Xenopus tropicalis: one gene and its partner. The protein of the gene in region 1 interacts with the protein of each later gene in a biochemical or structural test. Links are inferred from orthologs where the notes say so. Each region holds a gene or a part of one and is shown in the gene's direction. Other genes may lie near its edges.

Region 1 (4,377 bases):
CTCCCATAGGACTCAATGGCACCCTGCAGCTCCAACCTGGCCCAAGAAAAGTCACCATACTGAAGCTTGAATGAATCCGAATCTTTAGTACTCGGCGCGAAGGCTATGAAAAAGTCGCGACTTTTTGCGCAAGTAGTAACGCTACGAAAAAATCGGCAGATTTTGCGCAACATTCGGAATGGCAATGTAAAAGTTGCGACAATTTTCCGAAAAATCGCCAAATACAGATCACTACGAAAAAAAACGCAATCGGACGCATTCGGCCCGTTCGTAAGTAAATGTGCGACATAATGTGCATAACACTATCCATTTGCACATTCCCATGCAATACATTATACCATGTTGAATACAAACAGCATTGGCACAAAGTTTGACGCATAATGTGGTCATACCCTCCAAAAAAAAGTTAAGGTTGCGAAGTACCTCAATGTGTTAACTTTGCAATATGTGACAGGTTCTAGAACAGTTAGGAAACATCACTTCCCTCCACTGCCCTGTATTTTTCCTTTCTGTTTTGGCAGAAGATCAAAGTGCTCCCCCCTGTGGCAGCAGTGACCCAGAAATGAGTTTGATTCACAGAGTCCTTCCTCCATAACAAGTAAATAACGTCAGTCACAGAGTGCATGTGTGTGAGAGGAGACACAATCTGTCCCCCCCCCCTTACCCTCAGTACCACAGCCGCTGGGCTGAACCTTACGAGCACAGGATCACCCATCTGGTTGCGGGGGGGGGACACGTTATACGAGCCCGGCGGAGGTAGCCAGGAATACCCGAGCAGGTAAGAGTCAAGCAAGTAGAGTGCGGGGAGGGCGGACTCCACGTTAACAGGCTTGTTGCACGCCTGTGTGGGCTTTTCAGCGAGTTGGGGGCGAGCCCGGGTGGTTTGAACACTGCCAAGGTCGCTGCTGCCTAGTGGAAAATAATCGAGTACGTCATTAATATGGCGCCAAAAGATTTGCTTGTTGCTAATGTTAGCGGGGGGCTCGGGGCTTGTTGGGTAGCGAGTTGTTAGGCTGCTGGGTGGGTGTGTACGCGGTTCCTATAGTTTGTATGGGGCGATAGTGGCAACTTTTGCCAGCTTTATATATATGCCAAGCGCACGTACACCATTTGTGTGCCCCGGCGGCCCGAAACATCGGTGTGAATGCGCGCTGCTGTGTCAGCATCATGAGCCGCCTGAGAGGGCGCGTTGCTTCTCACTTGTGAGTGTGTCTGTGTGTGTATGTGTCTGTGTGACTGTGTGACAGTGCCGCAAGGTGTCCCTGCTCCGAGCGATACTTCTAGGAAACGTGGCCGCGGTGTGGTAGGTCCGGGTTAATGGACTCACGGCCGGTGTTCTAAGACCTGCCATTAGGTGTCCCTCTATGTAGGACTGTAAGCTCATCCTTCAGTAACTAGCCATTTATCTAATCCTTATGGTTAATTAGCCGATAGTATGGATGCCTGCAGGCAGCGCAGAAACTTATGTAACCCGCTGCGTACATCCCATGCTGCTGCTGCTGCAATGTGCGGCATATGGGGCAGGGATGTTGTACAGGCAGGGCTCAGGCTCAGGCTGGAGTAAAACTACTAATGTGGAATCTTGTGCAACAAGAGTTGGTGGGCTTGCAGGATTAATACTTTCACAATTATTTCAGTGGTTTCATGGGCTCCATGGTGAGTGAGGCATTTGCACATCGCAGCCTACATTTTTATTATTAGTATTTTAATAATGCAACTTTCTGATCAGCTTTGGCATGACTCATGGGTAAATCCATTGACACTGGTGTAGAACTTGTTACTTTGAATCAATTTTTGCCAACATCATGGCATTTGTATTAGTGTTTAGGCCAGTTTTGTCCTCTGTGATTTGGGCACACAGAAGTAGGAGTGCGGCCAAAACGTTCGCATAGGGGGGATGGATCCAGAATGATAGAAATGTATCATGCGTTAGGGCCAAGATCTTCAACTTCAGCTTGTCTATTTATTTGTAAACTATAGCTCCCAGCGTTCTTTACCAATGGGAAGGAAACTTGTGTGGTTCCTTTCAAAAATTGTTCAGGGTTCTGCATTCCAAATTTGTACTACACTTCCCAGTGTGTGTAATATAGAACCCAAGTGGATCATTATCTTTGGCAACAGGCTAAAGGGGTATGTGCATTTGGTGGCTTTTACTGGATATAAGCCAGTATAAGGGTTCAGTCCGAATACAAAATTGTTTTATTTTTTCTAAGTTTTTGAACTGTGCATATTTTATGCAACTTTTTTAGTACTGTGTGACAATTTACGCGACAAAATCGTATTTGTTGCAACGAGTACGAAAGTTTCGGATTTATTCAAACTTCTGTATCGTGACTTTCCTCCATTGAGTCCTATTGGAGGCTTCCAAAATCATGCATTGAAGTTTCAAAGTCAGAAAGGGTTTCCTGCTGTTTACGATCGTTCGGATACGACAATTTCGTGCCTTTTGCAAACAATTGTTTCAATACGAAAATTTTGGATTGTAAGTATGAAATTTTCGTATTCAGACGGAAAAAAATTTCGGGAAATTTGCGATCATCAGAAATGATCGGATTTCGTGATTCGGATTAGTACTTTAATGAATGGGCCCCTAAGTGTACAGAAACGCATCTTAGAGGGACATGGATTGAGTATGGCATCCACTTGTAGGGAAATGAATGTGTTTTGGCACTTTTGAGATCTCCTGTTAGCGCACTTCTTACTAATGTATGCATGCTTGCACAAAAAGGATTTAGAGCCTTACTATCAAATAAAACACTTTGTCTCATGGACACTTGTATGCCTTTTGTTCATGTATGAAAACTGTTAAAATTATGACATGATTTTACAAGTCCCTCTAAATAAAACCACTAACCCAAAACACTTATTGCAAGTCAGAGTTGCAGCTTAACATGCAGAAGTGTAATTGCAACTAAAATAATACAAATATATATGCACATATTTATTTCTTGTTGCCGTGGCAAATGGTTAGGCAGCAAGGCCAGTCATCATAAACCCTGGTGCACGTATCAGTAACCCTTGCACAAGCATACTTTTCACACGTGTTGGTTGCTCTTTAGATCTGTGACATGGCTTTGTGCCATGTAACGGTTTTACAGAGACCGACCTCCATGGGTGAGTCATAAGTTACTCTGCGGGTCTGGCATCACTGTGCTAAAAACAGCTGTGGCCTAGACAGGGCGATTGCTTAATTGACTAGATTGTGGTTGAAATGATATGGCCTGGGGATATTGCAGCTTATATGGCCCAGAATATTGTAGCTTGTCTAACCTATAATGAGTGACTGCATGTGTGCTACTGTGCTATAAGTTGTTTATGTGCTGAAATACCAAAATAACAAAAATACACCACTCACATCTTGTTGCAAAACATTCTAGAAATTGAAAGTAAGTTCTGGAGCATAAAGTTAAGATTGTTTAAAAACTAACAAACAAAAAAAAAAAAATATGAAAAAGCTTTTGTCTCATTCATTGCTGCTACTGCTGTGTGCCCACGTCATGGTTACGACGACACTGTGTCATGGCCAGCTGTCACTTTATATCACCTTTCACAAATAAACTTCACCCATTTTGGACTTCATCCATAAAAAGAAAGCACCTGGTCAGAATCTTTGTTATGCACCCTCCTACTGACGTTCCTGTAAAGGATGGACTATGTCATTTGATCCCTTGTACACACAACATGTAAATGTGCATGGTACTTAACTCATTCAATGCTCCTAACATACTGCTTCCATTGTAGAATCCTTAGGGCTAAGACACACGCAGCAATTAGCCAAAAAATCATGGCGACTAATCCACGCTGTAAAAAAAATGCACGCAATTAGTTGCAGTGACTTATGCAGTACCCTATGGCGGGAAAGTCGCCACAATCGCTCCATGTGTCTTGGAGTTTATGTTTAACCCTTTGAATGGCAGGCAGTTTATTTTTTATGAAATTTAGCAAAAACTATTTTAGAAAATGCCCTTGAACATTTTGGGTAAAATATGTTAGGAAAAATAAAATTATTATTTAAATTTACTGGCAAAAAATATTATTGTGAGAACAGAAATTTGTATTGTATTGTGCCATTCTTGTTCACTAATTAATTTTTGTTTCATCTTAAAGGGGTGGTTTATGTTTACAGTAACTGTTAGTATGTTATAGAATGTCCTGTTACTAGCAACTTTGCAATTGGTGTTCTTTCTTTCTTTATTTTTTTTTATAGTTCTCAAATTATTTGCCTTCCACTTCTATATCTTTCAGTTTTGAAATGGGGGTCACTGACCCCAACAGCCAAAAACGATTGCTCTGTGAGCTTACAAATGCATTATTAATGTTACTTTTATTACTTATCTTCCTATTCAGCCCCTCTCCTGTTCATATTCTAGTCTCTCA
Region 2 (3,824 bases), on another chromosome or scaffold:
CCAGACGATCCTTCGCAGACACATGGTAAGTCAGAACACATTCCTGCTTTAGTAAATTTAACACTTGTAGCCAGTCTGTAGTAGTCCACAATATCTAGTTCTTCTTACGTATTTGGCCCTAGCCCTCAAAATGCTCTTCTGCCCGACTGCAGCATTGTGATCGTATCATGTAGGGCTGCAAATAAGCCTGTTCGCATAAACTAAAAATATAAAGAACATTTGCTAAATGGTGTATACATACAGTCAACTTGTGTGTGTGGTTAAATGCAGGTTTCTTGGTGTTCGCAGTTCATTTTGCTCCAGTCTCACATTCCTAAGCTCAAATCTACCTTCAGTAACTCTGTTGTAAGTGAGAACCTTTTTAATGTGTAACCTTCCTATCAATATATCTCCTTCTAGGCTAAATGTGTTTGGAAGCATCCACCAGGGGATGAGATTTATCGTAAAGGCTCCATCTCCGTCTTTGAAGTAGACGGAAAAAAGAATAAGGTAAGTTTGCGAGATTCTTCGACGAATGCGCAAGCCTCAGTTGATCCCTGGTAATGTAAAACACAGTGCCATTAAACCTTCTCTCCAATTACAGATATATTGCCAGAATCTGTGCCTTCTTGCAAAACTTTTCCTGGACCATAAAACACTATACTACGATGTGGAACCATTCCTCTTCTATGTCATGACCGAGGGAGACAACACTGGCTGTCACCTTATTGGCTACTTTTCCAAGGTATCCCTCTATAAGCATGGCTGTGGCTGTTGTTGGGTCACACAATAAAACAAAGCTGGGTTGAATAAATGTGCTTGGAGTTCTTAGTTGGCTCCACGTGAGGCCCTGTTATAATTTAGCCTAAGAAATGGTGGCTGTTTAAAATTCTCTTATGTAGACTCTGCATGACAGATCTGACTGATGTGAGTGTTGAAATATATTGTGCCTGTTAAGCAAATATAACAGTCACGTTATGAATTAACACACTAACAAATGCATATATACAGATGGGTTTAAATGCATATACAGGTATGGGAGCCATTATCTAGAATGCTCGGGACCTGGGGTTTTCCAGATAAGGGATCTTTACGTAATTTGGATCTCCATACCTTGTCTACTAAAAGATTATTTAAACATTAAATAAACCCAATAGGATAGTTCAATAAAGATTATTTGTATCATAGTTGGGATAATGCACAAGGTACTGTTTTATTATTACAGAGAAAAAGTAAATCATTTTTAAAAATTAGAATTATTTGCTTATAATGGAGTCTATGGTAGATGGCCTTCCTGTAATTAGTAACTTTCTGCATAACGGGTTTCCGGATAACAGATCCCATACCTGTACAATGCTGATACCTATGTGCACATATTGCTTGTTGATTGTGGGAAAAATAACATGAAAATCAGTCTGGTTGTTTAATTTGTATCCAATAAATTATTTTTTCCCTAGGAGAAGAACTCCTTCCTCAACTACAATGTGTCTTGTATCCTGACAATGCCACAGTACATGAGACAGGGTTATGGCAAGATGCTGATAGACTTTAGTAAGTATTCTGTTTCCATGCATTACTTTCCATTACTCTGCATAAACTTCAAGACCTCGTTGCCTCACTCTTTGCCAGACACCACATCTAAATTGAATTCACAAGCTGCTAATCTCTTCCCCAGCAGCCTTTTTTTCAGTGTGACTTAATTTTAATGTGGACTTTTCTATATGGATTGCTACATATTAAAGGAACAGTAACACAAAAAAATAACTTTTGACATATCCCTTCTAAATACTTTATTAAGATATGTAGCATTTAAAAAAATTGAATATTCTACATGGTTTCAAAATAAATTACATTACCAATGCCTTACTGTGCAGAGCTTGAAAAGGCGATACGGCGACTTCCGGTTTAATCCGGAAGTTAAATGCTGCATTCTTCAGAGTCCGTTTTGTGTGATTTATGGGCTATTAGCAGTTGGGGAGAGGAGAGGGGATTAGAGACGTACCGTTTCTTCTTTACAGATAAGTCTGCATCGCTGTTTGAAGTAGCGCTGTGTGTGCCTGCATGAAGAGGGAGGGGGGGTGGAGGGGGGAGCGGAACGGAAGTGTGGTGCGAGAACTGCTGCCTGCTCTCTATAAATCAGTGCTAAAGTAAGATTTCTAAGAAAAACTACTACTGCTGTTGAAATTTTTGTATGATATATTTGATAATGAAAGTATATAGAAGGGATATTTTGAATGTAAAAAAATTGTGTTACAGTTCCTTTAACTCTCAGTCAGCAGGTAATATAAAGTAATTGCATATAAAGTGCCTCTGTTCTGCCCACAGGTTACTTGCTGTCTAAGGTGGAAGACAAAGTGGGTTCACCGGAGCGGCCTCTCTCTGACCTTGGTCTCATCAGCTACCGCAGCTACTGGAAAGAAGTTCTGCTCCGCTACTTGCACAATTTTCAAGGCAAAGAGATTTCCATCAAAGGTGTGTTCTACTGTTGCTCTAGAACAAGTCATTGTGCAGAGGGAGAATATTTTGTGGCATAATGACCATTTCCTCCTTCCTTCCTCTTCCAGAGATAAGCCAGGAGACCGCAGTGAATCCAGTGGATATAGTTAGCACCTTGCAGGCCCTACAGATGCTCAAGTACTGGAAGGGGAAACACTTGGTGTTAAAGAGACAGGTAAAACTACTATAAGTTCTTGTTCCCTTCACATAGAAGATAGATCCTAATATGCAGGAGCCCAAGGATAAGCGGTAAGATATAATTGGATAAAATGTGCTCAGTCATGTCAGACCCTTAGAAGGAGTCACTATAGTTCTGTGACTTGTATAAAAGCACTTGGCCTGCCTTCATATGGTCATTAAATAACGTCTAATATCAATATAGTGTACAGTACTCCTGATTGTTACCTATATAATATAGAGGAACATACAGTAGTCATCATGGCCACTATCGGGTACTTGATAGGCCTTCTGAGACTTATTAACCTGCATTACACAACTTCTTGGGCCTCATACAATCTTGGGTCCCTGGTGTTACTTACATTACCTGCCCGGGCAGTCAAAAATCCTGGCTGCTTCTAGGCGATCATAGTTCCTTACTTTTACATAGAGAATTGTCTGGACATTTTGCGAGCAGCTTATAGATATCCGAATCCACCAGAATCATTACAGTACATGTTTTGTGGGTATTTCCTAATCAGTTCTATTAAGTTATGTTATTGCAGAATCTTACACAGTAATCCTAAGTTGATTTTTTGTTTGTTTGTTTTTTTTTCTAAAACCACACAGGATCTGATTGATGAATGGGCATCCAAAGACGCAAAGAGAACCAACAGCAATAAAACAATGGACCCTAGCTGTCTAAAATGGACACCTCCTAAAGGAACTTAAACCTAATGTTGCCATGACTCTCATTTATTACCATTCTCCCATCTGTTCGTTATGCACACTTTCTATCTTGGGATGGAAGCTCCAGCTTTCTCCCGCTTGCTGCATTATAAGCATTTGTGTGTCACGTAGGGCATTGTTCTGTAATTTCCCTGGAAAGTTACACCCGCTCGCTCTGCTTATCATCCTGGTAATTTGCTCCACATTGGATGCCTTCCACTTCTCCTTAACTCCAGCATCACCCCAGTGGGTTCCACGCCACAGTCAAGCTGGCATAGCAACAAGCTTAGTTTACATCTCTGCCTTCCTGAATGCCCACGGTAACTGCTCTGTTTGTCACTTGTTGTTTTAAAGGGATTCTGTCATGCTTTTAAGGGTAGTTATTTATAAATTGAAACAATGTTCATTGCAAATAATGAATTATACCATTTAAAATCTATTTTTTTTTTTTAGTTGTAATAATG

What was found.
Region 2: the proteins of jade1 (region 1) and kat7 form a complex in vitro, tested with the Homo sapiens proteins (2 studies listed by BioGRID). The link is inferred for Xenopus tropicalis from reciprocal best matches to the Homo sapiens genes JADE1 and KAT7.

What each region holds. Positions count from the first base shown.
Region 1 is NC_030677.2:64,096,231-64,100,607, reverse strand, and holds the start of jade1 (protein Jade-1), read left to right. Parts: upstream 1-1,441; 5' UTR 1,442-1,656; intron 1,657-4,377.
Region 2 is NC_030686.2:14,519,463-14,523,286, forward strand, and holds part of kat7 (histone acetyltransferase KAT7), read left to right. Parts: coding exon 1-25; intron 26-399; coding exon 400-489; intron 490-583; coding exon 584-724; intron 725-1,436; coding exon 1,437-1,530; intron 1,531-2,304; coding exon 2,305-2,451; intron 2,452-2,543; coding exon 2,544-2,650; intron 2,651-3,261; coding exon 3,262-3,363; 3' UTR 3,364-3,824. UniProt on the Homo sapiens protein: Catalytic subunit of histone acetyltransferase HBO1 complexes, which specifically mediate acetylation of histone H3 at 'Lys-14' (H3K14ac), thereby regulating various processes, such as gene transcription, protein ubiquitination, immune regulation, stem cell pluripotent and self-renewal maintenance and embryonic development.